Linked DNA regions of Mus musculus. The protein of the gene in region 4 interacts with the protein of the main gene of each other region in a pairwise test. Links are inferred from orthologs where the notes say so. Each region holds a gene or a part of one and is shown on either strand. Other genes may lie near its edges.

Region 1 (4,282 bases), on a different chromosome or scaffold from region 4:
AAAGAAGCAAGAAAGGGATAAACAGAAGAGGGGACCAAATAACTACAGCTACAGGACTGAGAAGGAAAAGGTAAGCAATAGAACGTGCCCTGAGGACCAGGCTCAGGGACCTTGGAGAAGGTGCCTTGCCTCCCAGTCAACAGGGACGGATTTTCCCTGTCTGCACATCCTGAAGACAGAAGAGATGGATCTGACAACTCCTCCTTATTCACAGTCAATCAAATCTTTCCAGGAGGGCTCCTACCTGAACTGATCTCTTTCCAGGAGGTCTCCAACCAAGGCCACCCTTAAAACCATGATGTCTATGCTTCAAACTGACCAGCCCCTAGGTATCCTCTGCTAGACACACCAGCCTACATGCCAACCACTGAGATCTGGGGCAAGGATTCAGAGTGGAGGGTGAAATGAAATTCTAAAGGGGGATGGGACAACTCTGAAACCAACTGAAAATCTGCGCTGGCTCCTTCAAGTCACTTTGGAGGTGGAATAAAGGAAACAAGGCAGTAAGCGGCTTTACCTGATCAGGAACTCTAAAACGAACGAGCTACCCAGGACTACGAACAGTAAGAGCAGAGCCCAGAGTGAAGAGAGGCAATCAAGACCAGCATGTCTTTGGAGAATCTTGGAAACAAGTCATTCCTGAACTGTGCATTAAGCCATAAGGGGAAAAAAAAAATCCACCTCTAGGACGCAAGAACATTGGGAAGATGAATTCTGCACAAAACCATTTAGTCTGTGACAGGTGATGGAAAAAAAGAAAGAATGGTGGCTTTGGGCCATGCCTCCAGCCAGTCACACACTAAAAAATAAATAATACATTGTTAAAAACCGTTAAAGCTTTCATTTGAAGGAGTTCATGTCTTTCTAAACCTCAGCTTTCTACAAGGCCCTCACCGGAGAGGGAGAGCTGGAAAGAGCACACTAAACCCAAGTTGACACAGTCGAGACGGAACGTGTCACTTCTCTTCATAACCAATCGGTTAAGACGAATCAAAAATAACCCTGCCAGACAAAGATCAAGAAGACAGAACTAAACCAGGTGTCTAACGGCCCAGAAGTTATCTGCCTCGCCCAAGGCTGGTCGCTTCAATTGCTAGCTCCTAATGACCTGGACTGCGGCCCTGATCTCTTCCAGTTTGGGACCTGACTTTGAAAGAGGCCACTGAGACCCTGAGCTGTCAGCCTCCCGCGCTCACCCCGGTGCAGGCCGCTCACCAGACCCCGAGGCTCTCCGTCCTCCCGGAGGCGGGCAAACAGCCTCCCCGCGCCCTCCCTGGCCCGCCCGTCCGTCCGGATCCTGACCTGGGCCGCCCTCTCTGGCTCTCCAGCGCGGAGTCTGCATCCTCACTCCCAAGCCTGGCCGGCCAGGGACTGCTCTCCGAACTGCAGGCCCCCGGCCGCCGCTGCCCTCCGCCGCCTCCCGGACGCGCAAGCAAACCGGACTGCACGCAGGGACGCGCGGACGCGAGCCGGGCTCGCGCGGGATCTGGGCCGGGCCGGGCTTGGAGGAGGCGCCGTTACCGGGGTCCCCGGGACGCCCCGTCACGCCCCCTGCGCAGCACACCAGCGCCCCTCCCGCCCGCCGGGCTCCGGGCTAGCCTCCTCCTCGGCCACCTCCGGCTCGCCAGAGCGGACCCTAAACTGCCCCTCACTGCCTCCAGGTCCACGCCACCCACGCAGTGCCCGCCAGCCCTGGTCCCACGCCTCTCCCAAGGGCCACCACGGTCCCAGATGTCCTTCCCGGGCCTCCCCCAGAAACAATGGCTCGACCCGACCGCCGCCTCAGCTCGGCCACCGTCCTCGGTTCCTGGGCTGAGGTGCGATGGCTGCCCCGTTTCACAGAACCGTACACCAAGGCTGGATGACAGGCTAGAGCCCCGAGTCGGGACACTCGCTGATAATGGGGTTGGTGGTCCAGCTACCAGCGGCCCAAAAGCTATTACAGGGCAGAGCTGCTGTCCCCGGTCCCGGTGAGCTCGTCCTCCGGGACACCGGCCTCCGCCCACGCCGTCCCCGCCGCCGCCTCCTCGGCCCTCCAGCAAGAGACAAAGAGCCGGCGCCCCTACCCGCGGGGCCGTGGCCGCTGAAACGGGAGGCCGAGGGGTGTCTAGCCTGGCACGAGGGGCGAGCGCCGGGAAAGCGAGTGAAGGCGCCCGGGACGAGCCGCAGCACAAGGGCGGCGTGGGTAACCTGACACGCCGGCGTGGATCGCAGAGCCCCGATGCGGCGACAGGGACGAGAGCGCGCAGGGCTATACCGGGCCGGAGATCCGGGCGCGCCGGGCCGGCCGAGCGCGCGGGGCAACCGCGGTACTCACCGGATCGGAAGAAGGCCGCGATGTCGGCTAGGTCCTTGGCGGCCTCCTCGGCGCCCTCGCCGGCGCCGCCCCCGCAGCCGGAGCCCGCCGCGCTGGCCGCTGCCGCGGGGCCGGAGGACGCGGCCGGGGCGGTGGCACCGCCGCTGCTGCCGCTCATGGCTTCGGCGGCGGACGAGCCCGCCTCGGGCCCCGCGCCCCTAGCTCCGCGCACCCAGCCGCCTGCGCCTGGCCTGGCGGCGCCGAGCACCCAGCTGCCCGCGCCCGGCGCGCGGACGCACAGCCCCGGGGCGGCGGGCGGCGGCGGCTCGGCCCGAGGAGCGCGCCCACATAGACGAGGACACCGCCCGGGAGCCGCGAGCCTGGCGCGGAGCGGGCGCGCGGAGCCACGGCCTCGGCGTGGCCGGCCGGGGCACGGGCAGCGGCGCGGACACGCGAGGGCGGGGGCCGGGGCTGCGAAGCTCCGCGATCACGAACGCCGGCGGCAGCAGCGAGCCTCCATCTTGCTTTCCGACGGGGAAGGAAGGAGGGGGAGGGAGAAATCACGGCCGAGGGAGCCCGGGTGAAAGGAAAGGGAGAGCAGGGAAAGGAGAGGAAGGAAAAAGAGGGGCTTCGGGAATTTCCGGAGAGCTTCGTTAGCGGCCGGAGCGTGGGCTCGGCTGGTGGGCGGGGCCTTTTGTGGGCGGGTCCTGGAGGGGCGGAGCCGCGCCTGGGAGCCCGGAGGGCGAAATGGAGTGGCTGAGAGAGAACGTGGAGCGGGCCAGGTCTCCTCCTCCAGGGCTGCTCCAAACCTGGGAGGAGCAGGAACAAGTGTGACCGAGCCACACTGGCCTTCCAGGACGGGCACTGCGCCCCCTGCCAGGACTCTCGCGCCTGCACTGCAAGCGGTCCTAGCGCTGGAGCGTTTTCATTATTATTTATGTCACCCGCGGGGCCGAGCGACCAGGATATGGAGCTGGTGTGGCCTTCGCAGGCACAGCGCTGTCACTGGCATGTAGAAGGGGCGGGATAATTGTTGAATGAGCAGAGAGGCAGTGAAAACAGATTATCTGCTCTAGTCTACCGTCTCCTTGTATGTAAAAAGCAGGCGCGAGAGAGGGGGTGCTTGCGGGGAATCCCCATCTCCCAAGTGTGCTGGGTCCTCAGGCTACCCAGATGTAGTGGGAAGATGATGGAGGCAGGGGAGACCAGAGGAAAGGGACTTTTAAAGAAAATGTACGTTAAATCAGATGTGTGGAATATCAAATTCTGCTTTATGTCACGGCTGCAAGATGAGTGCAGTGAAGGAATGGGCGCCGGGTAATTGAGAATCACATGCAGGAGAAAACAGATCAACAAATTCCATCAAACTACACCCCGCACCTATGTTTAACGGGAGAACGATGATTAAGTGACCACCAGATCTTTTCCCCTTGGCAGTCTCAGACAAGCAAGGGAAAAGGGCTAGAAGGCTTGGTTTCGGTCAGGATGAAGTTTGAAGACACCCATAGGAATTTGTGTTCACCTTGCAATAGGTGTGTGTAAAGATCTACAGCTGTGTGCTTATATTTTGGACCGCATGATAGTACATATGCCTGTATTTTCTTGCTCTGTCAATTAATTGGCCCTGGAAACACCTAGCGTTTTGATGACTGTCTCTCTGCCTCTCATGTGTGCCTGCACGCACTATCGACATTTGTGTTTTGGGTCTGTGTTTATATGAATACAAGAGGTAGGTACCCAGTGTCTAACTCAGTCATCCACTTCTCACCTTAGTTTTTTTGGAGCAGAGTCTCTCACTGAATCTGGAGTTCCTTGGTTAGTTAGACAGTTGACTAGCAATACATAAAGATCCTCCCATCTCTGCCTCCCTAGTGCCCAAGCTGCAGTAAAAAGCTGGAATACCGAGGAACTGAATTCAGGTTCCCATGCTTGCAGAGTAAGTATTTTACCACAGATGGAGCGTTTCTATGGTTCTCAGATCTTGTT
Region 2 (4,375 bases), on a different chromosome or scaffold from region 4:
CCGTCTCAAATAAATGGAGAATGCTAGTTAAAATAAGTTAATGTTCGAAGTCTTTGAGAAAATTCTTTAACCAAAAAAGTCAAATCATTTTCTATATGGCCTGGCTGGTCTCGCTGCTCCATGATCCCTCGGGACACCATCGCAGAATGGCGCCAGCATCCTCTATGCTGCTAAGACCAGAGAGAAGCGTGCAGATGTGTGCAGAGGCCCTGGAAGAAACAAACCCTTGTCCCTTCCTCAGAGGAGCTGCTCACACTCCAAACCTGAGCTGAGGAAAAAACATCCCATTGTCTGAGGCTTCAAGACGTCACATCCTCGGCCCTTTCTATAATCCTGATCCCAGACACGTGCGCCCTTCCCAGCTGGAAGGGCTCTGGCTCACTGCCCGGCTTCCTCTGCTCCCAGACTTCCCTGCTGCACGACAGAGATAAGTTCTGTTACCTTTCTCATTCTGAAAATCAGTGCGACGAATGTTCTGGGGTCCGTAGAGCGAACCGGCTGAGGCACGTCTGCAAACTTGTATAGCTCAGGGTTTTTATTTGCTTCACTTGGCTTTTGCTTTTATCAGTCTGGTTGCCTGTTGACTTTGTCACACACTCAGAGAGCCTAAATTACGTTAAATAACAACTTCTCATCCAGTGTTAGTGGAGAGTGTATAGTATCAGAAGCATTTGGGCTAGTCACCTGGAGAAGGGGGTGGGGGGGCAGTATCTCTTCCTCAGCGAAATGCCTGCTCAGTTGGCTAACACAGGCGGGAGGCAAGGAGAGTACCACCTTGCTATTACAGTTAGAGACCCGGGAGAAAGCGAACGTTGCTGTCGTCTGACATAAACCAAAATAGTTAACATTTGTTGAGTGTCTACTACATGGCAGGAGTTTTATGCAGTTGGTTTGCATCAAATTATTGAAACTCAGAACAATTGCCTGTGATAGACCTTATAATCACTCCTCCTATATCTGTAGCCTCATTTTATAAATAAGAAAGCAGATGCTGAGAGAGGTTATTACTAGCTCCTGGGTGTACAGTTAGGGTGTGGGAAAGTCAAGAAGAAAATCCAAGCTGCCTGTCCTTAAATCCTGTACAGTTAACATTACTCTGTACTATCTTTAAAATGGGAACGTAGTAAAACCTCCAAAGACTTGTCAGACTCCACGAACACGATGCATTGAAAGCTGTTAGCGCAGGGTCCGACACACGATAAATGTGCAATAAATACAGACACAACCATTGAAATGATTACACACATACATATACAGAAGCAGAGCCAGGCCTACTGCTGCTCCTCTAAACTTAGTACCCAGGAGGCAGAGGCAGACGGATCTCTGTGGGTTCCAGATTAGCTCGGGGCCAGGTAAATAAATAAATAAATAAATAAATAAATAAATAAATATTTACATGCCTTGATAGATGAATGCCACAGTGCAAAGTCAGAAATAAGCACACAGGAAGACCTCTTCTTGTACAGCCCGGTGCCATCATAGGCTTACAGAGGATGACTGACTGGGCTGGGCAAGAGCAGGCTATGAATCACAGCTTCTCTAAATCAGCATGCTCTAAAGAGCAGCAACTTCATTTTCCAGAGCTGCTTACGAGTAGGACGGTTAAAGCAGCCGGAACGGTTCTCTGTTAACGTTCAGACTGCGGTCATGAGGACAGCTTCCAATCGAGCAATATAAAAACGCATCTGCTGCAGTGATCCTTCTGTCCTTTCACCCTGGCTTTGCAGTCGCCCTAGGAATAAACAAGAGTGTGAAGCCTCTCTGCAGTGTCTCAGAGTCACAAGCCCCAAGGGATCCCAATCATACGATCTCTCAGAGTTGTTTGAAAAAAAAAAATTGCATGAAGAGCCAAATGCTTACACTCTGGCCAAGTTAGGAGCCTATGAGGAGGAGAGGCTAGGGGAGGGCCGTTCACTCCATGCATGCTGCAGAATTAGCTCTCTCCCTCTGGGTCTGCTCTGCTGCAAAGCTCAGCAGCACGGAGGGAGCGAGATCCAGGAATCTGCAACAGAAACCATGACAGCCTGAAACACCCTGTGGTGCCAACCTCCAAATTCTCATCTGTCACTTCAGACCCTGACTGGCTGACAGAGCAGCAGAATTTCAACTCCAATAAACGTGAATGTGCTTCTAGGCAAAGCAGCCAAGCTGACGAGGGAGGGGGGTGGAAGAGCTAGCTCCTCTTGGGCATTTGTCAAACTTTTACCTCCTGGCTGTGTGCAAGGAGGGGACTCAACTTCGGCTTCAAGCTACCAAGGCTCTGGATCCAGCCACCTCTCCGCAGGTAAATGTTAAATTTGCTTATATTGCCCAACTGCATGCGTTAAACTGACTTCCCTGATCTAAAAAGACTGCTTGATGATTCTGCTTAAATAATTCAAAGCCATGTGTTTATTTTTATAATCCCATTTGGAGTGATTTATATGAAGGAAAAAGGAGAATTTTACTTTGTGTGGCCATGTCTCTTTTCCTCCTACAAAATTAAATGTCGAGCACTAATAAACCATAGTTTTCGTAATGGCCAAACCAGAAGTATAGATTTCAAAATTTTAAAAAATGTGTGTTTGCCATGTTTAAATTACCTAACTGTATCTGTCACTGTCATGGGCCTGACAGCTGTGTAGAAGTAGAATGCTTTGTTTGTTTGTTTGTTTGTTTTTCAGTTAGGAAATATCTCTAACAGTACATTCTTCTTCGGTTACTTTCATATTATCCTTTCCCTCACAGTTTTCACAGATCTCTCTCCTCCTGCTACCTATCATTTGTTAAGAGGTGACAAGGGGACAGGGAATATGCCCGGTTCCTCATTACATCCTCTCTAGAAAAACACAATGCTAAAGGAGAAGTCAGGGCTAACAACTGTGCTGTCTTTGAGAAGGTCCTCCCATCTGCACCTTCCCCAATACAGCACTTCCTGCGAGCCTTTCTCGCTCATTCCTTCAGGAACAAGATCACCCTGCAGTAGAAAACTATAACCCTGCTTGCAGCTGCCAATCAATACAGTTGAAAAAGTACCCGAGAGAAGTCCTGCAGTATAGTCTCATCTGCAGTGCTTTTTGTCTGCAAAGAGGTTAAATGTGCCACCTTGACATTGCAGACTCCTCTGGGGCAGACTCCAGCCACACAGAATAGAAATGTACCCGCAGTGGGGAGAAAAAAATTTTACCCTCTCCTTTCTCTTAGATCCCAGGGTTTTGTTTTCAGTTTACAGCTCGCTCCACTAAATCTTTGTTTCTGACTGGTTTCCTTTGTTTTTCTTAAAGACACCCCCCACCCCATTCTTAGGAAAGATTTAAAGTTTGGATCGTCTAAGTGAAGTCCAATCAGGTAGAGCAGTCTGTTTCCTCTGCTTGTCAATCACCGGACACGACTTCCCACATCTGGGGAAAGAATGTGTGCGTTGTTTGAAGATCGTGCCCCCACCCCCACTTTTTTCCAAAGAGCCATTGAGCAGTTAGAACTCTGGGGTGGTTTCCTTGCCCTTCAGTGTCTTGCCAGCAGGCTGTTATGGCACAGGCCCACAGTAAAACAATAAATAGTGGCGACAGATGAGGTGCGCGGTGGAGCATCTGGGGAACTCGAGAATGTCCCTTACATTCTCTCTTGACTCCTGTTCTTTCTCAGCTGACTTGCAGCCAGACATGGACGTGGTTGCTTTGGTTAAGTTGAGCTCAATGTCCAAAACATGTTGGATAACACAAACAACTTGTCAAAAGGCTTGAGGTGTGTTGGACTTTCTTATCACCACGGAACAATCTTTAGTGGGTGAAAAAAAAAAGAAAAAAAAAGCCATAAATCCAGGAGAAGCTCTTACGGGTCTCCCAGGATGCCTTCTGCAGAGGCTCCCGGGGTGATAGGACCACCACCTAGCCACAGCCTGTCTCTTTGTCATGAACATCAAAGGATTTACAGAACTCTGCACAAAAGTGACTGCCTCAAAGACAGCCAATGCAATTAACATGAGAAAGATGAAAAGGGCCCTGGTTCATACATGATGACCATACAGCTCTGACTTCTGTTAGACTACATAGGCATGGTTTATCTGCATGCGAAGTGTCACAAGAAATAGCCCAGGGACTCTGCGCAAATGACTTTGTCATAAGAACCCTTTGTTGTAACCATGAATCAGAATCATAAAATCAATAGATACTGCAGAGATTGAATGGGAGAATGAGCTGGAAAATGGATGTATGCCTCGTATATATTGATGATAGCAAATATGAAAGTATTGGTCTGGCTATATTTCACTACTTAAACTCTGAAAAGGGTGTGGACGCTAGGCTCCCCCTTGTACTTGTATGCTCTGCTCTAACAATCTTCAGAAAGCAGACTGAAGTCTCCAAGACAGCATAGAGAGTGGACAGATAAGGCTGCC
Region 3 (3,575 bases), on a different chromosome or scaffold from region 4:
TAGTCTACTCACTTTCTTTCACTTTGTAGTTCATCTTTCTTATTTTTTACTTCATAATATTTTCTGTCCAGTTCTTCAACTCGAGCTTTGACTTCATTGAGATCCTGATCCAATTTCTATGGGAAAAAAATTTTCAAAAGATGTTTTAGGCACATTCAAAGGTGAAATTTAACACATATGTAATTTATAATAAATGAAAAAAAGTTAAGTCTGTGGAAATGGCCTAGACTAAAGCAGATTAGAGAAAGACAACAAGTAAATAAAATATAAAATTCTGGATCTAATATTGAATCCCATTTTCATCCAACTTTAAGAAATATATTTACACAAACCTGGAAACCCTAACCACTATTTATACACAAAAGAAACAATCTGAGCGTGACATCAAAAATATTAGCACAGAGCTCTTTCTATAAGCAGTGAGAGGCCAACTATGAAAATGGTTCACTGTTTTCTTATCCATAAAGCCCTATAAAGTCATGTATATCTGAAAACTCGAATCCTTGTGCTCATTTTAAGAACACACTTGAGACTGCCTAGGCCAGCAGGAATATGCATGTGGGGAAAGCCTCCACATATCAGGAAGATGTCACTTTAAAGAAGCAATCAATGTGTGGCACTTTTGGCAGATATCAATGATACCATTTCGTATGCCCAGGCCTAACAACGGGGTTGAACCTGGGTTGTAGCCCAAAGTGTTGAAGTTTTGTTGCACATGCTTAAAACTGCAGAGAGGAACACTGAAAACTTAAGATTCTCTGCTCACTAAACATATGCAGGTGAACAGAGCACCTGAGATGCGCTGTCTTAACTTACAGAGCTCATGGTTCAATTAATGCACACAAGTTCCCACCACACTGACATGATCCTAAATAAAACAAACTGCCCCTAAGTCAGAAATGGAGGTATACAGAAGAAAACATCCCAGAAGAACTAGAGAAGCAACATTATGGCTCAGAGATAAATGCAACATAAACCAAAACAAAACAAAAAGAGAGATAAGCATATTTGTGGTAAGTTAAAAAACACCAAATGCATGTGTTTATGTATCCACACACATGTATTTTAAGATTCTATGGTTTCTCATGTTTTGAAACCAACGACCACTCAGAGCAGACCTCACAGTTTAGGCGCAGGCATTTCCTTTCCTGGACACATGTCCCAGACTCTCCTCATCCACCCTACAACCTTCCACTCACACTCGCACACACATGCAGAGAGATGCAGGTTCTTTCTTAAGCTGAACTAAAACTTCCCTCCTCTACTTCAAGTTTTAAGAAAATTTTAGCTAAATATGTAAACGATGTTTAACTCATTTAGAAAGAACTAAAAAAAAAATCACTATTATTTTAACTAACAAAAATATTTTGCAGTGAATTATAAAGCTGATAGAATAGCTAGCTGTGCAGTTAGTGCTTGCTGCTCTCACAGGGGACCCACATCGAATGGCTCGTGTCTGCCTGCTCCACAGGATCAGGCCGACACACTAAACACCAATGCACATAAAATAAAAACAAATCATTTAAAAATAAATAAAATAAAATACGCTCAATCTACGCAAACATCACGAGCATGGACTAACTATCCTTAGGAAACTTTTAAAAAGAGCGGCCACTGAGATGGCTTAGTAGGTAAATCTCAAGACCCAACCGAATCAATCCCCAGGACCCTCACAGTGGAAGATGAGAATCTCCATACCTGTGCTAATGGAAGCACACGGACACAGCACACAGCACACAAGACAACAAACACTGTGTACTGCTGGGTTTGTGTGTCAACTTGACACAGGCTGGAGTTATCACAGAGAAAGAAACCTCCCTTGGAGAAATGCCTCCAGGAGATCCAGCTGTAAGACATTTTCTCAATTAGTGCTCAAGTCGGGGAGGGCCCATTGTGGGTGGTGCCATCCCTGGGCTGGTAGTTTGGTTCTATAAGAAAGAAAGCTGAGCAAGCCAGGGGAAGCAAGCCAGTAAGGAACATCCATCCCTCCATGGCCTCTGCATCAGCTCCTGCTTCCTGACCTGCTTGAGTTCCAGTCCTGACTCCCTTTGGTGATGAACAGCAGTATGGAAGTGTAAGCTGAATAAACCCTTTCCTCCCCAACTTGCTTCTTGGTCTGATGTTTTGTGCAGGAATACAAACCCTGAGTAAGACACACTGTGTGTACTAACAGTGGCAGCCTTTCTAACTGAGCGGCTTCTTTGTTCATTTTAAGAACAGCATGGTGGAGGGAGCTGGGGAGATGGCACAATGGGACTTGTTTCCATGCCTGATTATCTCAGATCAACCATTTGAAGGAGAGATCTGAGTCCTACAAGCTGTCCTCTGACCTATACACATACAAACTAAGGGAGAAAAAAAAAAAGCGGGGCATGGTGGCACACGCCTTTAATCCCAGCACTTGGGAGGCAGAGGCAGGCAAATTTCTGAGTTTGAGGCCAGCCTGGTCTATACAGTAAGTTCCAGGACAGCCAGGGCTACATAGAGAAACCCTGTCTTGAAAAAAAACAAAACAAAAACAGATTTTTAAGTATGCAAGCTTACTTAAAAACAACACAAAGCAGATAAAATGCATATGTTTATCTTACTAAAAATTTTTTTTCACAAAACATACTAAAGTTCTTATTCTTATGGTCAGTAATGGCGCACACCTGTTTCTAACATTTAGGAGACTGAAGCAAGATTGCTTTGAGTTTAGGGATGGCCTGGGCTACACAGTGAATTACAGAAACAGCCTGAACAACAGAGTAAGATATTGTCTCAAACAAACCAAACCAAAAAATATAAAGCAAAATTTTTCTTACATTATATTGCTCCAGATTTTTCTCTTTATTTGCCTCGGTATCCTCCAAATCCTTGTGAATAGCAGCAATCTGTCTTTTCTTATCATTAATTGCCTGATCTAAAGACTTCAGTTCCTTTTTAATCCATTTATCCCTTTCTTCTTTTGACGTAAACTGGCTTCCTCGACCCTGCTTTGCATAAAGATCAGTTCTTTCCTGTGTAGCTTGAGCCAACCTACGAAATACAAACCAAATACAAGAAATAAAAATTGTAATTATCAACCCTATAGAAACTTTCCTTTTAAAAATTACATTGCGTGGGGACTATAGGTTATTGAGATGGCTCAGGACCCATATGGTAGAAGGAAAACAAACTCTTCAGGGTTATCCTCTCACCTCCACACATGACGAGCACAGTGAAATAAACAGGGGGAGGGGTTAAACATAACTAAACATAACTGCTAACTGCTAAAGCTACTGCACCACCTGCTTTTACTCTACTAACACCAAAGGAACTTTAACATCATAACTACAAGCAGAATAATCCCTTTACTAAGGATTTTAGACAGACCCAAGATCTCAATGATCACTAAATTCTAGACAATGCTACTGCCCTACCTCAGGAGCTTTCAGAAATACTCGAAGTATAGTTAACTAATACATGAACTTTCAACTATACAATAAAACACTAAAAGTTAATATAAAGTGTTTTAGACATATAAAATGTAAGTATTCTGATTACACAAAAACCAATTTAAACCTCCTCCTGATCACACGCACACAATAAAAAGG
Region 4 (3,575 bases):
CCCAGTGTCCTAAGTCGAACAAACCACACTGCAGGTCAAAGGTTGTGGAGAAGTATGGGCCCCATCAGAGAGGACATGCCAGCACCTAAGCCACACAGCCAGAAAGCGGAAAGCAGAGCATGCGCGTTCAGATGTGGAGGAGACAGATGTGCCGCCACATCTTTTCAGTCGTCCCAGGAGCCATTGCAGCTTCCGGGACCAGCACTCAGTCGGTGGCCCACTCCCCGCCTCCACCCAACACTGAGTTTGAGGTGACCCGATTCCAGAAGCACACACACCTCCAGCTGCCTGCGGTTGCTCAGTAGGTAGTCCTGCAGCATGGGCTCCCATTCCCTGAGCAATGTATGCCATCCATGGGCATCGGCCCAGCCGCCGCCCTGGTCGCCCCGCCCACCAGCGGAGGATGCATCCTGGGAAGAGAAGCCAGTGTCCGAGGAGGAGGAGGAGACCGTGCCACATTCTGATTGCCTGCTGCTGCTCCTTGTCACCTGAGCCAAGTCCGCCAAGCCTGGAGCAGCGTGAAGACTGAAGGTCCAGAGATGCCGAGGATCCCCGTGGGGCCTGTCTGAGCTAGATGCTTCAGCTGCCATCTCTTGGGGCCTCTGATGCAGAGGTTCGGCCTCTCTGGATGGCAGGCAACCTTCTGCTTCTCCGCGTTCTCCAGCAGCACCAAGGGAGAGTTGGATGAAGCTGAAGCTGGAAGTGAAGGTGTCTTGGAAGCCGGGAAGGGATGCGATATCAGCGGGGCCATTCAACGCCGGTGATGCCAGAGGTTTCACAGTCTTCAGGCCCCTTGATCCCTTGTTCCAGGGTGCATCAAGGCTAGGAGCCAGAGACTTAAAGCTGTCTGAAGATAATAATTCTTGCCAAAACCCACTGTCCCCAGGCTTAAATGACCCAGTCAGCCTCTCAGATTGTCTGCTGTCATTCTTGGAATGAACCGCAAAGTGCACTGGTCTTTTTCTCATAGAGCGCTGGGCTGGGTGCAGGTGGCCCTCAGAGGCCACAGCAGGGACAAGGGAGCTCTTGAGAAAAGGCTTGCCCACCAGTGAGGCTTGGCAGTGGCTCCCAGGGTCAAGTCCGCACTGTCCAGCCTTGGACTGTGAGTGTTGGGACTGCTGGCCTGTCAGCCCTGCTGAGCTCGGGTGTGGCATGCCCACTGCTGGAGAGAGGAACCCGATCCCAGAACCCGCTGTGCTTCTCATGTAGCCTGGTCTCCGTGTCAGCCGCCGCCTCTGAGGGGCTACTGCAGGCGGTAAGCCATGCCCACTGTCTGAGAAGAGAAGAGAAAACAGTGTATGTCATTGAATCAGCAGGAGCGGCACGGGGAGGACATGCTAGCCATGCAGGTCTCTGTGGGTACACCTATCCAAGACACAGCGTGAAAACTCATGGTGGGACACTCCCATGATGCCAGTCCTTGGGACAGGAAGGCTGAAAGGTCAGGAAAGCAAGGTCATCCTTACTACCAGAGGGAGTTCGAGCTAGCCTGAGCTACACAACACCCTGTCTTTAAAAACCAAAAGAAAGTTGGTGCCCCTCTGCAGATGCCCAGTCAGCCCAGCATCCCAGCCTTCTGCTGGCAGAGCAGCAGGCCCTACTGTATGTCTGTCTGACAGACTGTCAGTGTCCTGGGGACACAGCCTTGGTGGCTCCCCAGCGACTGTCCTAGTGCTGATGATACATAGTGTGTCCCTCCAGGAGAGGGCTTGCAAAGCAAGCCACCGGACACCAAAATATCAGCATGTGACTCTGTCAAGTATTCCAGTCACTATTGAATGACACTTGGATTTGCAGTAGCCAAGTATCCAGGTTCCCACGTTCCCAACGCATTCCCGAGCCCTCGGTGTCTGTGATGGTTTGTATATACTGGGCCTAGGGAATGACACTATTAGAAGGTGTGGCCTTGTTGAAGTAGGTGTGTCACTGTGGGTGTGGGCTTTAAGACCCTCATCCTAGCTGTTTGGAAGTCAGTCTTCTCCTAGCTGCCTTGAGATGAAGACGTAGAACTCTCAGCATTCTCCTGCACCGTGCCTGCCTGGACTCTGCCATGCTCCCACCTTGATGGTGATAGACTGAACCTCTAAACCTGTAAGCCTGCCCCATTTAAATGTTGTCCTTTTTAAGAGTTGCCTTGGTCATGGTGTCTGTTCACAGCAGTAAAACCCTCTCTAAGTCACTGGTTGTGACATAGAGGCCATTTGTCTCTTCATCTCACACAGTGGACCACAGGGGCTGAGTCCTCACCTAGCTACCCTGCAGAAATAGGAACAGTAAGAATCCTGTCACCTCACTGTCTGGTCCAAATATGACCATATCAACTGCTCATTGTGTAACCTTCTGCAGGCTGCTTGGCTTCTGTGTGCCTCGGTTCCCCCTCAGTTGAGGGGGTGGTTAGAAGGACCCCATATACAAGGTTCTTGTTAGCATCTGTATAAACAGTTTAGAATAGGACATGGAACATAAAAGTGTGGTGAACTATTAGCTACAGGCCTGGGAAGATGGCTCAGCACGTAAAGTATTTGCTGTGCAAGTCCGAGAACCTGAGTTTGACCACCACCCCCCCCCAGCCCAGGTTAAAGTGCTGGGTGTGGTGGTGCATGTTTGCAGTCCCCGTGCTGGGAGGCAGAGTCAGGGGGGTCCCTGAAGTTCGCTGACCATGGAGCCAAATTGATGAGCTTCATGGTCAGGGAAAGAGTCAGCCTCAAAAATTAAAGATGGAGAGGCTGGAAAGCTGGCTGAGGCCGAGGGTGCAATAGGTACCACATAACCTTGATTGTGCCAACTGGATTAGAAAAGCAGGCTTTCTCAGCCATGTGTCGGACCTACAGAATGCAAGCGCAGGCTTTCTAAGGCCGCCACCTTCAAGATGTAAATGGGCCTCTGCTCCACAAGAGCACTTGATGCTCCTGCAGAAGCGCCCAGGATGCAGTTCCCAGCACCCACATGACACTCACCAGCATATCTAACTCCATTTTCAGGGGATCCCATGCCCATACCTGTCTTGCCCTGGCACCAGTCATGTGGGCGGTACATAGGCATAAATGCAGAAAACACACCTATACACGTAAGGTAAATAGATATAAAATGCATTTTTAAAAATTAAAGATGAAGGGCTGGAGAGATGGCTCAGCGTTTAAGAGCACTAACTGCTCTTCCAGAGGACCTGAGTTCAATTCCCAGCAACCTCATGGTGGCTCACAACCATCTGTAATGGGGATCCAATGCCCTCTTCTGGTGTATCTGAAGACAGCAACAGTGTACTCACATACATTAAATAAATAAATATTTTTTAAAAAATATTAAAGATGAAGAAAGACATGCAGTGTTGACCTTTGATCTCTACATGGTGTGGACACAGAAAAATGCATTCCCATTGGCAAGGACATATGTCAAGCTCACAAAAATACCACGCCATAGACAAAGCTGAGCAGGGTGGTACACACCTGTAACCCTAGCTCGCAGGAGGTAGAGAAACAGGAGGATATCTAGGGTTCTCCATCTAGGCAGCCTAGTCTAATTGGCAAGTTCCAAGTCTCAGTGAAAGAGACACGGAGAGACAGAGAGACAGAGAA
Region 5 (4,329 bases), on a different chromosome or scaffold from region 4:
GGACCACAGCTTACCCACCTTGAAGATGGGGTCCAGGATGAGCTGGCAGAAGGTGCGGGGAAGTTTTTTCCCATCTGGGCTATTGGCTGACTTACTGAACTTGCCATTGGCCGGATCAAAGTACCTGTAGAGAGCAGTCACATAGTATCGGCAGGCAGGCATTGTCCACAAGTAGCAGGGGTAGAGACAGTCACACAGCCATGTACTCACCGGTCTCCCCACAGCTTCTTCATCATGTCCTCTACTTTCTTGGCACGCTCGGCTGCGCTCAGCTGGCCCTCACCCTTGGCTGCAAACTTGGCCACATACATCTCCGCAAACTGCTTCAGGGTGAAGGCCCAGCCATGCAGGCCAGAACCAAAGCCTACGGTGCCCAGGACGGGGTCAATCTGAGGGAGGAGAGCAGCAGTTAGCCCGGCAAGATGGTCAGCAGCCAGCCCAGCCACAAGCCCACAGTCTCAGACACTGAGTTTCTTCAACAGACATCAGGTCAAAGTGAAGAATTTCCGTCATCATGGTGGGTCAGAGATTCCCAGGGAGCGTGGCCCTGACCGCCCCCCATAGAAGAGCTTCGCACCATGATATTGCCCATGGGCCCACTCTCGCCCTCGCCGTAGGTAGAGATGATGACGTTGACGTTCTCCACGATGCGCTGGAAGGTCTGGTAGAGCTCCTCGGGCTCCAGCTGCAGCTCCAGCAGGGCCCGGTCCATCTTGTTCATCATCAGGACGGGCTTGATGCGTTCAGCGATGGCCTGGCGCAGCACAGTTTCTGTCTGCACACACACGCCTGAGGACAGGGTGAAAAGGACTAAGTGTTTACCCTTAACTCTCAAGTACTCTAAACCACTGACAGTTCAAGGCCTGAAGACCACGTATGTTTTGTCTGTGAAATGTACACAAGCACTCTCCAAGGTACACGGTATGGATGCCCAGGCGCTAAATCTCCAAGTGTGTCCAGTGTACCAGGCCCTATGCCACTCAGCCCCTCCCACCTCCAGAGACCCATGCACCTCTGCCTCAGAGCACTGAAATTATAGGAAACTGGCCCCACACTTAGGTGGACTTCACAATCTCCCTGCCCTGACATGGGGACTGGCACATACAATTTCAAATTAGAGCAGAATTCATCCTTGCCTTAAAATGAATATGATTTCAATTTACACCCCCAAAAATGTGGTACTGGGCCATGAAAACACCAGCAACTGTCTGTTACAGCTCCCACCCAAGGCTTACCAGACACACAGTCCACCACCACCAGAGCTCCATCGGTGACACGCAAGGCAGCTGTCACCTCTGAAGAGAAGTCCACATGGCCTGGAGAGTCGATGAGGTTGATGAGGAAGCCCGAGCCATCCTTGCTCTGCTTAATGAAGTTCAGGTCGTTCTCAGAGAGCTCGTAGAAGAGGGAGATGGCGCTACGGAGAGGAAGAGGTCAACAGTCCATTCAGCATCTGACCAAGGCAGGCTAGGCAGCACACACAAGCATGTCACAGAGAGGACCCTAAACACGCCACTATTTGTCCACTGGCAGCAAACACACCCGAGTGACACCCAGAGCACAACCCCTCGGGGCTGTCCCCTCACTCACGTGGATTTGATTGTGATGCAGCGCTCCTGCTCATCCTTGCGAGTGTCAGTGAAGCGCGTCTCCCCAGCTCGGGCAGAGGCAATGATGCCAGCCTTGCACACAAGGGAGTCGGTCAGCGTGGACTTGCCGTGGTCCACATGGGCGATGACTGACATGTTCCGGATGTTGGCTTTCTTGTCCATGATGGCACGGATCTGATCTACTGTGAAGTTCACCTGTGGTGGGGGGATGGGCAGCCAGGCTGATTCTGGGAACCCAACTTGGCAGGCATCGGTGGGTCAATAGCACCCCACAGCAGGGGCAGGAACCAGATGTCGGCCCAAGATTGGAGCTGAGCTCACAGTGTGACTCAAACGTACAACCCAGGACCTCTGAAATAAGCATCAAAAGTTCACAGATGTGTCCACAGCTCTAAACAAACGCCGAAACCGACAACTGCGACACTTAAGAGCAAGCCTGTGCTAGAAGACCCTATCTTGAGGCTCAAGTCACATAACCTCAGCACAAGAATTCAAAGCCAAGGTGCACGGCCACCTCGGCACTGCAAAGATGCCGGATTGATTGGGACCAAAGCACGAAAAAACCTCCTCTGCTACACACACCTCTTCCCCAAACCACTGGGTGCTGTGCGCCAAGGTCAAAGCCCGGATCAAAGGCCACAATGCGCCACTAGGCCCAGTGAGCCACTTTCTTAGATTATGGGGACCGGTGCTCACGTGTGAACTCAGATAGAAAACAGAGACGGGGGCTACCGGAAAGGGCCCGGAAGGCGTTCAGCCCACTGGAGGTGTCCAAGGAAGCCAGCCCTACAGGCTGTCACCTCCCGAGGACACCCTCCGCCCGTCACCAGGGGCGCGGGGACGGCGCTTTGCCCGCTGCCACATCACCAAGCACAACCCCTCCCGCAGTCACCCCGGCGGCCGCGGGGAGTTGAAGGACTTCAAGAAAACACCCCGACCTCGGCAGTTGACACTCCCAAGGCCCTCAGGGACGCGCAGATATGGCGCCGCGGCCCGACCACGTCCTGCCGCCCGGGCCAGGGCAGCCATGTCTCTTCCTCCCGTCCCTCTCAGCGTCCCGCTACAGCCACGTCCCGCTGCCCCAGAGATTCGTCTCGGTCCCCGAGTCTAGCGGAGCCGAGGAGACTCACCATGGTGGCGGATGGCGACGGATTCTCAGAGTCAGAGGTGAACAGGGAAGCGCGCCGACGATGGCGGCGGCTGCGGCGGAAGAGACCGCTGACGTCAACGCCCGGCCTTTTATAGGTCGACGCCGGTTGGGTGCGTCACGTGACGGCGCCGGGTGCTCGTCCGGCCGGGTTGGCTAGGAGCCAGCTGTGGACGGGTCTGCGCATGCACAGAGCGCGGTCTTTGGGACTTAACACTTGAACTGCCGTGGGAGTGGCTGCGGCGCGGCCGGGGCGTGGCTAGCTCAGTCTCTGGACCCTGGGCCAAGATCCACGGATGGGTTTTTAAACATAGATTCCTCAGAACACAGTTGCTTACAACATGATTCTTGAAAACCTTGTAGGTCAATAGGAAAAAGACTTTGAAATTCGGACCGGTCAGTGGGTTGTGCCAAAGTTCAATTTCCTGGGTTTGAGACTGTTATGTAATTTGACACCTCTGGGAAAAGCTGGAGAAAGGGACCCTTGAGGCCACAGATTTATTTCTGCAAAACCTTGCTTGTATTTTTATTACACTTTTTCGTTTGTTTGTTTTGGAAACAAGGTCTTTGGATGCAGCCCAGGACCGCACCAAATCATGAAGATCTGCCTTAATCTACTGCGTCAGTGCTCGGACTAAAAGACTGTGCCAACACACCACGCTCTCATGAAACTTTTTTTGTCCGGAGACAGGATCTCGATAGAACAGGCTGGCCCTCAACTGGGTTGGCTGTAGAGGTTGTCCTTGAATTCCTGATCCTCCTGCGGGCAAAAATGCAACAATTATGATAAAACCAAAACAAAAGGCAGACAGTAGTGGTGCACGCCTTTAATCCCAGCATTTAGAAGGCAAAGACAGGAGATCTTTGTTCAAGGCTAACCTGGTCTACAGAGTGAGTTCCATGACAGACAAGGCTAAATCAAGAAACCCTATCTTAAAAACAAACAAAAAGGCGGGGCGTTGGTGGTGCATGCCTTTAATCCCAGCAGAGACAGAGGCAGGCCAATTTCTGAGTTCGAGGCCAGGCTGGTCTACAGAGTGAGTTCCAGGACAGCCAGGGCTACACAGAGAAACCCTGTCTCAAAAAAAAAAAAAAAAAAAAAAAAAAAAAAAAAAAAAACGAAACAAAACAAAAAAACAACAAAAAAGATAGATAGATCAGCACGTGGAGCTAGGCGGGTGGCAGCCAGCTGTCATTCCAGGACTTGGCAGATGGAGGCAGGGTCTGATCTCTGCAGGGAGATCAGGAATTCAAGGCCATCCTTCCTTAACTTACACAGTGAATTCTAATGACATCCTGGGCTACAGGAGACCTTGTTTCAAAAACAAAACATTGCCAAACCTGTCCTTTCTTGGATTTTGTCACTTGTCTCCTAAATTTTTGCACATTTAGACAAGGTTTCATTCAGTAGCCCATAACTCGTAGCCTTGGCTCCAGCCACTATCTGAACAAAGCAAAGAGAAAGTGTGTTTTTCAAGAGAGCCCTCGATGCTGACAGTGCCGCGTGTGTCCAGCAGGAGGCATCGCAGGACCGTGAGCATGGCTGTCCCCGCCTGACCCTGGGTGCGCAGC
Region 6 (4,232 bases), on a different chromosome or scaffold from region 4:
ATTCCTGGGAACCACAAGGTGCAGAGAAAGAACCAACAGCACAAAGTGTCACATGTGCACCCACATGTGTGCACATAACATGCATATACGGAAGAAAAGCCTTAAGGGGGGATTATTGGGGGCTGGAGAGATGGCTCAGTGGTTAGGGCTAGAGAGATGGCTCAGTGGTTAGGGGCACTGGCTGCTCTTCCAGAGGTCCTGGGTTAGGCCCCATGTGGCTGCTCACAACTGTCTGTAACTCCAGTCCCAGGGGATCTGACATCCTTACACATATACACACATACAGGCAAAACACTGATCCGCATGTTATATATAAGAGGTGTTACTAAGACGTTGGCATCAAAGCCAAGTTGTCTTAAGCTTGAAGCGCATGTCTGCTGTGAATTAGCCATGTTAATTTATGCAAACACCTCAGCTGCATAACCTGTGAGGCAGGTAAAATAATACTGTCCAGATGCGAGGGCTGGGTGAAGACTAAATTAGTGTATGAAGCAGTTAGAGAACACCTAGTAAGGACTATGCTTGCTATTATCATGGTTAGCATTAACTGGAGCCATTGGTCACATCCAGATTAGCTCTCCCTAGCCCCTCCCCCATCACAGGCCAGCTACCCCCACCTCTCCTGCTACCCGGTGACACTCTTAACTCTTATTTCTCTCATTTCAGCTAAACTTTTTGATCTGTGTCTATGAGCCAGGCCTCATGGCATACACCTTGAATCCCAGCACTCCAGAGGCAGAAGCAGGAGGATCTGAGTGCAAGGCCAGCCTGGTCTATATAGGAAGTTCAAGCCCAGCCTGGGCGACGTGGTAAGACCCTGTCTCAAACTCTTCAAGGCTGTAACAAATGCATTTCACGCCATGGTCAGTAAACAGCCCACTTAAAATGAACCAGGTTAAAACCATAAACCAACAACCCTAGCACTCAGAAGGGCTGATAACGGAAGACTGTGAACTTCAGGCTAGCCTGGGCAACTTAGTAAGGCTCTTTCTCAGAAATGAAAGCCATTCAAAAGCAGTCAGACACTAACTATGCGAAAACATATCAAGTTACAACACATGAAACGTAGACGGACCAGGAGGTGGTGGAAAACTAAAACACTCCACAATTGGAAGTGGGCGACAGTCTCATTCTCACCTGTAAAATTACTTTTTTCTAGTCCCTACAACCACTAAAAACACACTTAGAACCCGGCCATATCGCTCAGCCAATCACTAAGCAGACGCTTAGTATGCACACACTGGCACTGCCTGGCACTGGGCTTGGGCTAGGGTTACAGCATTTAAAGTGACACCAGTTTCTCCACCGAGCTTACAGTCCGGTGTAGGTGCTGAGCGCACACATACGTATTGTGCCGTTTTATAAGAGCATTCTGTTAATTATAAAACCCTTTTAACCTCTTACTAAAATATAAGCAAATAAATAAAACAGGGAGACCATTCCAAACTCTTTGAAAGCGCATGTTTTCTTCCTGTCTCCAGGGGCAGTGTTCTGTTGAATGGCACACTTGTGCCCATTCATTTCTGACCTGCTCATACCCCTTTGCACACTTAAGATGGCGAAGACTGTACTAGACTACCCAAGAATCAAATAACTGAAATTTAAACTGAAGAGTAATGGCAGTCCCCAGAACGTTCAAGGTATGTCTCCAAAGGAGCATAAAATTCATTTAACCTGGCTGCTCACACCTCCCAAACCGGTTGTCTGTGCTCTTTGAAGAGTTTACAGTCTAATCAAACTGCTTCACTGCACATCAATTAAACGCAGTTCTCAGTCCAAGAAGGACCAGCGACTTGATCTAAAAAGTATTAGCATAGCCCATGACGCAAGGGTGGGTCTGTGCTGGCTCTCAAGAGGTCCGGGGCTGGAGTCCAAGATCCGCAGGCAGTCCTAGTCACCTGACAAGGGCCCTACTCTGAGATAAGCACTTGGTGCTTCCCATCAGCGTGTGCATTCTCACTAGTAAGGCCTCCAACCCGCTGGCATGCAGCTGTACAAAACAGCAGAGCCATTATGAAAAAGGAAAAAAGTTAATTTAAAAAAATCTCCCTTTCACTCTGCAAAATTCACATGCAAAACGGCGCAAAATTCACATGCAAAACGGCGCAAAATTCACATGCAAAGCCGCGCATGCCTCTAAGACAAAGTCTGCGATCCAGAAGAAACAGAAGATAAGGTGTTTTGTCAACGGTGAAGGACTAGTAGGGTGGCACCGCAGGACTGGATCCTACGGAGAGCCAGGGAATGAAGGATCACTACAGAAAAATACAAACCCTAGGAGAGAGTTTCACCAGCGCAAGGCCTTAGAGCCAAAATCAAATGGCCAGAGGACTCTTGGGGACACCCTGCAGAAGGAAGGGGATCCATGCGCACGCTGAAGCACGCGAGGCCCGGACGTCCAGTCCAGCTGCTGCAGGCGAGCCGGGGAGAGGATGCACGCTCAGCGCCTGGGACTAGTGGGCCGTGTGCTGGTCCCCAGGCTGCAGGGAAGATGGGGAGGCAGAAGGGAGATTCGGGGTGCCGGCACCGCGGGGCTCAATCGGGGAATGCTGCGCACGCGGCTCCGGGGCTCGGGCTCCGCTACTCACCTCTCCGAACTGGAAAGCCGAGACGATGGTGACAACGACGCCCACGAAGCAGACGTAGAGCCCATACCTGTGGGATAGGCAGGTATAGGTCTGTCTCTGCAGGAGCTTAAGCAGCATCACCCCGGCCCCGCCACCCCACGCCAGGAGGAGCCCGCGCCGCGCCACCGCCTCAGCGAGCCGCCATTCAGGGGCCCCCGGACGCGCCGCCGCGCTTAGCTCACAGCCCCCGGCTGCCGCACATTGTCGCTCCGGCGACCGACGGCCCGCTGGGCTCCACGCCGCGGCCGCCGCTTCCGGGAGCCCGGAGCCCACGCCCTCGGCGCGGCGGAGGCGGACCCAGGGCCCGCAAGGCGCCCGGCGCCACCCGGGGTTGGCCTCGGAGAGGCGGCGGCGAGTCGCCAGCGCCACCTAGAGGGCGGAGGGGCAAGGGCAGGCGCGCGCCCTCCCATCTGCGCGTGCGCCGTGGGCCCTGCCCTTTGGGCCCTCTGCCTTCTGCACGGTGGGACCCACCCAACCAACAGGTAAGCGACCCGGGCTGTCCCCTGCAGTGTGCCAATGGGCAATCCTGATGAACCAAAAAAACACAGCTCCTGCCTCAAGTTTATCTTCGAAAGAAAATTTGAAAGATCGTGGCTAGGGAATGCATATTCGGCTTGTCCCAAATGACATAATCTACTCTAGACGTTCGTACACGAGGTTTAATTGGTTTTGGAAAAACAAAAGTCACTAATCGGGCATTTATCAAAAAAAATTTTTTGAGGTCACAGGTAGGCTGATTGTGGCAAAGCAGGGAAAACTAACGGATTTAGTTACTATCTGAAGCCTTAGCTTTTGATAGGTAATCAATCTGCTTATAAGTTTGTGTATGCAGGGGAACTCGCACGCGTGCGCGTGTGTGTGAGTGCGTGTGCGTGTGCGTGTGTGTGTGTGTGTGTGTGTGTGTGTGTGTGTGTGAGTGTATGGTGAGGGTCACTTGTTTCTGTCCTTCCATGCTGCGGGTTCAAGGAACTGAAGTCAGGCTTGGCATCACCTTAACCTGCTGAGCCATTTCAGAAACCCTTTCAAATACAACTGGGTAGTATAGCTATTGAATTGGCATTGTTAATTATAAAAAATTTTAAAAAGGAACTGGAGTGTTATAGAGAACTAACTAAGTTTTCGGGTCAAATTCACTTGGAGAATTGTTTGGGCCTACCTGGGTCTTTTTGTGTGGGGGTGGGGTGGGAGTGGGGAATTACCCTCATTACACGGCATACTCTCAAATGCAGTGTCTACCACAGTGCATACCTGTTGAGCACTTGGGACGTTGAGGCAAGAAGGTTATGAGTTCAAAGCCAACCTGGTCTTGGTAGTGAGACCTTGTCAATAAACAAAAGAAAATTAAAATGAAACCCCTCACTTTCCTACTTTGTTTCATTCGTCTAGTCCTCAACTTATCCTCTTTCTTCTGAAGCTTTCGTTGGTTTTGTTGGTTGGTTTGGGAATTATTAGGTTTTGTTTTGCTTGGTGGGGGGAGGGTGGGAAGGGGAGGGGACAGGAGTGGGGGAAGCTGGGACAGAACGGTGTGGAGGATTTTGAAACAGTGTCTCAAGAAGCCCCGGCTGGGTTCTAACTCCCAATGTAGCCAGGCAAGCCTTGAACTCT
Region 7 (4,094 bases), on a different chromosome or scaffold from region 4:
AAAAAGTATATAATAAGCTGTTAACTTCTGATTGTCATTCTAGACCATAAAAATTTTAAAAATACTTAAGAATTTAGAGTATTTTTTGAGGTACTACAATTACATTTATGTGGAGAAGTATTGTGAATGCTAGCCTGGATTATCTGTAGAATATGACCATAAGAAGTAAACTCATTCCCTGAGTAACATGTTGGCATGTGCTTCTGAGGGCGGTCAGCACCTGGAAGGACAGACCATATCTGTCATGGCTTCCTCCAGCATGTTCAAATGCACACTCAATCCTGAGGAAACAAGAGCTGCGCTAATGACGGCAGCACAGCACTGACTCGGGCCATACACTCTCTACATACGCACTGAGAGGGAGCCAGCCAAACAGACTCTGAGACGCTGCTGCATTTGGAATCTGAGTCATGAAATTCCCACAGGGTAAGAAGCAGTTCAAACTTGCAATCTGCCGTGGCGGAATTCTTAGTTACCCACACAACAACTCATGGATCATATGCTGCGGACTAAAATCCCTTGAAAAAAGAAAGATACAACAAAAAGTAGTAGCTTGAAAGCACGCACAGCACATGAGTGTGCACACATTCCTCTAAGGCCAGAAGAAACAAATTCCTAGGCAGCTTTTTAGTTTAGGTTTATTCTTTAATGCATCATATCATTATTCTATGAATACAAGATACAGAACTCTGACTCTGTAGACCAGGCTAGCCTCAAATTCACAGATCCACCTGACTCTGCTTCCTGAGTGCTGGGATTAAAGGCAGGAACCACCAGGCAAATTCTGAGGATTCTTGAATAGAGGACTTGAAAGGAATATAAAAAGTTATAAAAGGTAAAACCTGATACCCAAGCTGGCCTGAGGACACTGGCACCTAACACTCTTGAACGAGAGCGGTTAAGAGCCCAGGCCATCAGGGAAGTGAAGCTATTTGCAGAATGGCAAAAGGCTGCAATTAGAGATCTGCATCTCAGCTATATTAATTAATTAACTAGCTAATTAATTAATTCTCCCAATTCAATGATGAAAATACAACCTGGTTTTAAAAAGATAAACTAAGGATAAGAATTGACAGTTTCTGGGTGATAGACCATGCTGGAAATGAAGCTTGCCATGAGGAAATGCAAGCCAAACCTACCATGAGATAGTGTGAATTTCTCTGATTGGCTAAAATAAAAATGAAAGCCTAGAACAAGTGTTGATGAGGTTAATGTAAAACCTTCAAATACATCTAGTGGGGATGTACAGTGAGTGGTGCTATGCTTTGGGAAAAAAAAAAATCTGTCAGTTTCTCAAAGAGCCAAACAAGGGAATTAGCCTCTGACATACCTATTCCATTACCAGGTATTATATCCATGAAAACATGCCTACATAAAAATTTATACAAAATGTCCACGGCATTATTAGTACTGGCAAACTCTTTTTGCCAATGGCTAATGGCTAAATAATACAGGGCATATCTGCCTAATATACTAATAAACAATAATGAATAATACAAGCTGCAACATAAAATTCGCTAGATGCACGCACACAGATCACATGTTTTAAGGTTGTGTTTATATCGAGTATCTGAAATAATTTTGTTGAGACTAAAGATTAGTGATTGCCTACAACTAATAGCAGGAATATTGGGGAGGAGAGAGAAAAAGCAGCTAAATAGAAAAGATTTCTTTTGGAGGTAATCAAATTGCTCCGAAACCAACTTGTAGAGATGATTGTGCAAACCTGTTGAGATGCTCAAAACCAGTAAGCTGTATACTTCCAGAAAATGAATTGTATGTACCTCAGGAAAGCTCTCACAGAGGAGGATGCAAAGGTCCCCTGCCCGGGATTTTCCACAGCAGTTAATAACCAATAGGCATTTCCTAAAGGTAGGAAAGGCATAACCTGTAGCTAGCCTGGGATCCAGGCAGTTAAATCACTAAAATGGCAATATCTGTACTGGATGCTGTGAGAAATTATGGGTGATTGGGTGTGAATGGAAGCAGATATAAAATAATATGAATGCTCTCTCTCTAAACTCAGGGATTTAATGAAAAAAAAATAGAACCATAGTGGAAAAAATGAATAAGGGGAACATGAGAATAAGAGAGCATACAATTCAGAGGTCTAATAAATAACGAATGGGATTCATTTTTAAAAATTCTGGTCTTTGACACGCAAAGGATTATATAGAGACAGAGAAACCTGAGAAACGCGCTATACATATCCAGGAGGCCAAGAATGAACAAATTTTGGTCAGGAGGGCTTGAGACAGAGATAAACCAAGAAAGAGTGATCTTACCTAAGGGGCATAGGCCATGAACTTGATTAGAGTAACATGGCCATCCCTCAGCAGGGCCAAAGGGCCATTCTCCATTTCACAGAGGCCTCTCAGAAATAAAACGTAACTCCACGGGCTGCAAAAGTATTCTCAGTCACATTAAAGCCAAACTGGATCACTACCTCGATCAACTCAATTTGCTCAGTACATTAAAAAGAGCAATAATTGCATTTAAAAGCTGTTTCATGGAGAGCGAAAGATGTTTCTTGAGGTATTAAAAGGTGAAGGAACCCAGTAGTACCCAGGGGTGGAAACTAAGGCAGCAACGAAGTCTCAGGTGTGTTGGGGACGGACATACCTGGAGTCACCGCAGGGGAGAGGCGACGCGAGGGCGTCCTGGGACCACATCTCCCCAGCTGAAGTCGGTTGGGAACTCCTGCCCGAGGATGGATGCGGGCCCCGCCAGCAGCTGACCGGAGGCCTCCAGGACCGCTCCCGTTCCCATGGCTAAGATCAACTGCGCTCGTGCCTCCCAGGGGTCAGTGCGCACGCGCGCTCGGAGGCGGGGCTGTGCGTCTCGTCCCGCCCCCTGCCGCCTGGTTCTGCCGGAGGCGGATTCATGTGTGCGGCACAGCAGCGCAGGGTAGGCGGGGTTTCCTCCGCGCAGGGCCGGGCGGGCTAGTGTTGTGGGAGACGCCCAGACTTCTTCCGCACTGGTGCTCTGGTTCTTGAGCGGCCTAAGCACCACCTCTGAACTCTCACCCGGGCCACGCCCAGACGAAGGAACGTGGTTGCCTTGGTGACGAGTCCATCGTTTGGCAACCTCGAGGCTGGAGAGCTGGATGACTTGACTGTCTCTTGGGGAGCCTAGGCTTTCCAAGATTGGCAGACCCGTGACTCAGAAGTGCAATAAAAGTCCAATCCCCCAGGGTTCGGATACCTCCATTAATGACTACAGAACTAAGGCCATTCAAACAGCCTCAGGGATGGGAATGTTTTTAAATGGTAACATGTGCCTGTTATATTTATATTTTTGCTCTTAGTATTATAGTACTTTGGGCACATTATAAACTATATCCATGTAAAATAATGAACCTGTCTGTGGCAGCGAGCCAGGGCCCAGGGACACAGGTTGTAGATAGTCACCCTAGCAACTGGATTTTTTTTTTTTCAAGAGATCTCCATTCAAGTGAAGTTGGGATTCTTGAATTTGCCACAGGAAAAAAATTCCAGGGCGAGCCTGTATGAAGCAGAGTTGGAGTCTACAAGTGATTTTTTTTTTTTTTTTTTTTTTTTTGGTTTTTCGAGACAGGGTTTCTCTGTGTAGCCCTGGCTATCCTGGAACTCACTCTGTAGACCAGGTTGACCTCGAACTCAGAAATCCGCCTGCCTCTGCCTCCCGCGTGCTGGGATTAAAGGCGTGTGCCACCACGCCGGGCTACAAGTGATTTTAATATAAAATAGAGGGACTGATAGATGTGCTCAATGACAGCGTAAGACACATCAAAGTGTGGGGACTTCCACTTTGCATGTTACGTATACAGTGTTGGTGATGTCTGAGGTTATGTAGGAAGCTCTGCTAAGGAAGTTGAGTGATATCAGAAGGTTCCTGAATTTGGATCGGATTACAACTGATAAAGTAAAAACAGTGTTTTGAAAAATATGTTTATAGTCTTGTTTGGAGAGTCCCAAATACTTTCAGGTTTACAAATACTTAAGAAAGGTGTGAGGTCATAAATACTTAGGCCTTAAGCATGGCTCGCAGGTATTTTTCCATTCTTATTTGAAATGATTCTACATGAAAGGAATACTGCCTTTTTATAGGTAACC

The links.
Region 1: the proteins of Disc1 (region 4) and Trio interact in binary tests that used the Homo sapiens proteins (3 or more experiments, as listed by UniProt). The link is inferred for Mus musculus from reciprocal best matches to the Homo sapiens genes DISC1 and TRIO.
Region 2: the proteins of Disc1 (region 4) and Sparcl1 interact in a two-hybrid assay, tested with the Homo sapiens proteins (2 studies listed by BioGRID and IntAct). The link is inferred for Mus musculus from reciprocal best matches to the Homo sapiens genes DISC1 and SPARCL1.
Region 3: the proteins of Disc1 (region 4) and Smc3 interact in a two-hybrid assay, tested with the Homo sapiens proteins (2 studies listed by BioGRID and IntAct). The link is inferred for Mus musculus from reciprocal best matches to the Homo sapiens genes DISC1 and SMC3.
Region 5: the proteins of Disc1 (region 4) and Eef2 interact in a two-hybrid assay, tested with the Homo sapiens proteins (2 studies listed by BioGRID and IntAct). The link is inferred for Mus musculus from reciprocal best matches to the Homo sapiens genes DISC1 and EEF2.
Region 6: the proteins of Disc1 (region 4) and Gnptab interact in a two-hybrid assay, tested with the Homo sapiens proteins (2 studies listed by BioGRID and IntAct). The link is inferred for Mus musculus from reciprocal best matches to the Homo sapiens genes DISC1 and GNPTAB.
Region 7: the proteins of Disc1 (region 4) and Pcnx4 interact in a two-hybrid assay, tested with the Homo sapiens proteins (2 studies listed by BioGRID and IntAct). The link is inferred for Mus musculus from reciprocal best matches to the Homo sapiens genes DISC1 and PCNX4.

What each region holds. Positions count from the first base shown.
Region 1 is NC_000081.6:28,023,023-28,027,304, forward strand, and holds the start of Trio (triple functional domain protein), read right to left. Parts: upstream 2,827-4,282; 5' UTR 2,475-2,826; coding exon 2,318-2,474; exon of another isoform or gene 1,343-2,317; coding exon of another isoform or gene 1,303-1,342; intron 1-1,302. UniProt on the Homo sapiens protein: Guanine nucleotide exchange factor (GEF) for RHOA and RAC1 GTPases. Involved in coordinating actin remodeling, which is necessary for cell migration and growth. Plays a key role in the regulation of neurite outgrowth and lamellipodia formation.
Region 2 is NC_000071.6:104,111,286-104,115,660, reverse strand, and holds the start of Sparcl1 (SPARC-like protein 1 precursor), read left to right. Parts: upstream 1-1,572; 5' UTR 1,573-2,284; exon of another isoform or gene 2,285-4,375.
Region 3 is NC_000085.6:53,624,392-53,627,966, reverse strand, and holds part of Smc3 (structural maintenance of chromosomes protein 3), read right to left. Parts: intron 3,019-3,575; coding exon 2,805-3,018; intron 117-2,804; coding exon 13-116; intron 1-12. UniProt on the Homo sapiens protein: Central component of cohesin, a complex required for chromosome cohesion during the cell cycle. The cohesin complex may form a large proteinaceous ring within which sister chromatids can be trapped.
Region 4 is NC_000074.6:125,085,152-125,088,726, reverse strand, and holds part of Disc1 (disrupted in schizophrenia 1 homolog), read right to left. Parts: intron 1,274-3,575; coding exon 279-1,273; intron 1-278. UniProt on the Homo sapiens protein: Involved in the regulation of multiple aspects of embryonic and adult neurogenesis. Required for neural progenitor proliferation in the ventrical/subventrical zone during embryonic brain development and in the adult dentate gyrus of the hippocampus.
Region 5 is NC_000076.6:81,175,141-81,179,469, reverse strand, and holds the start of Eef2 (elongation factor 2), read right to left. Parts: upstream 2,840-4,329; 5' UTR 2,744-2,839; coding exon 2,741-2,743; intron 1,806-2,740; coding exon 1,591-1,805; intron 1,418-1,590; coding exon 1,236-1,417; intron 790-1,235; coding exon 578-789; intron 510-577; exon of another isoform or gene 457-509; intron 390-456; coding exon 211-389; intron 125-210; coding exon 19-124; intron 1-18. UniProt on the Homo sapiens protein: Catalyzes the GTP-dependent ribosomal translocation step during translation elongation.
Region 6 is NC_000076.6:88,377,892-88,382,123, reverse strand, and holds the start of Gnptab (N-acetylglucosamine-1-phosphotransferase subunits alpha/beta), read right to left. Parts: upstream 2,857-4,232; 5' UTR 2,706-2,856; coding exon 2,589-2,705; intron 1-2,588. UniProt on the Homo sapiens protein: Catalyzes the formation of mannose 6-phosphate (M6P) markers on high mannose type oligosaccharides in the Golgi apparatus.
Region 7 is NC_000078.6:72,535,068-72,539,161, reverse strand, and holds the start of Pcnx4 (pecanex-like protein 4), read right to left. Parts: upstream 2,806-4,094; 5' UTR 2,623-2,805; intron 1-2,622.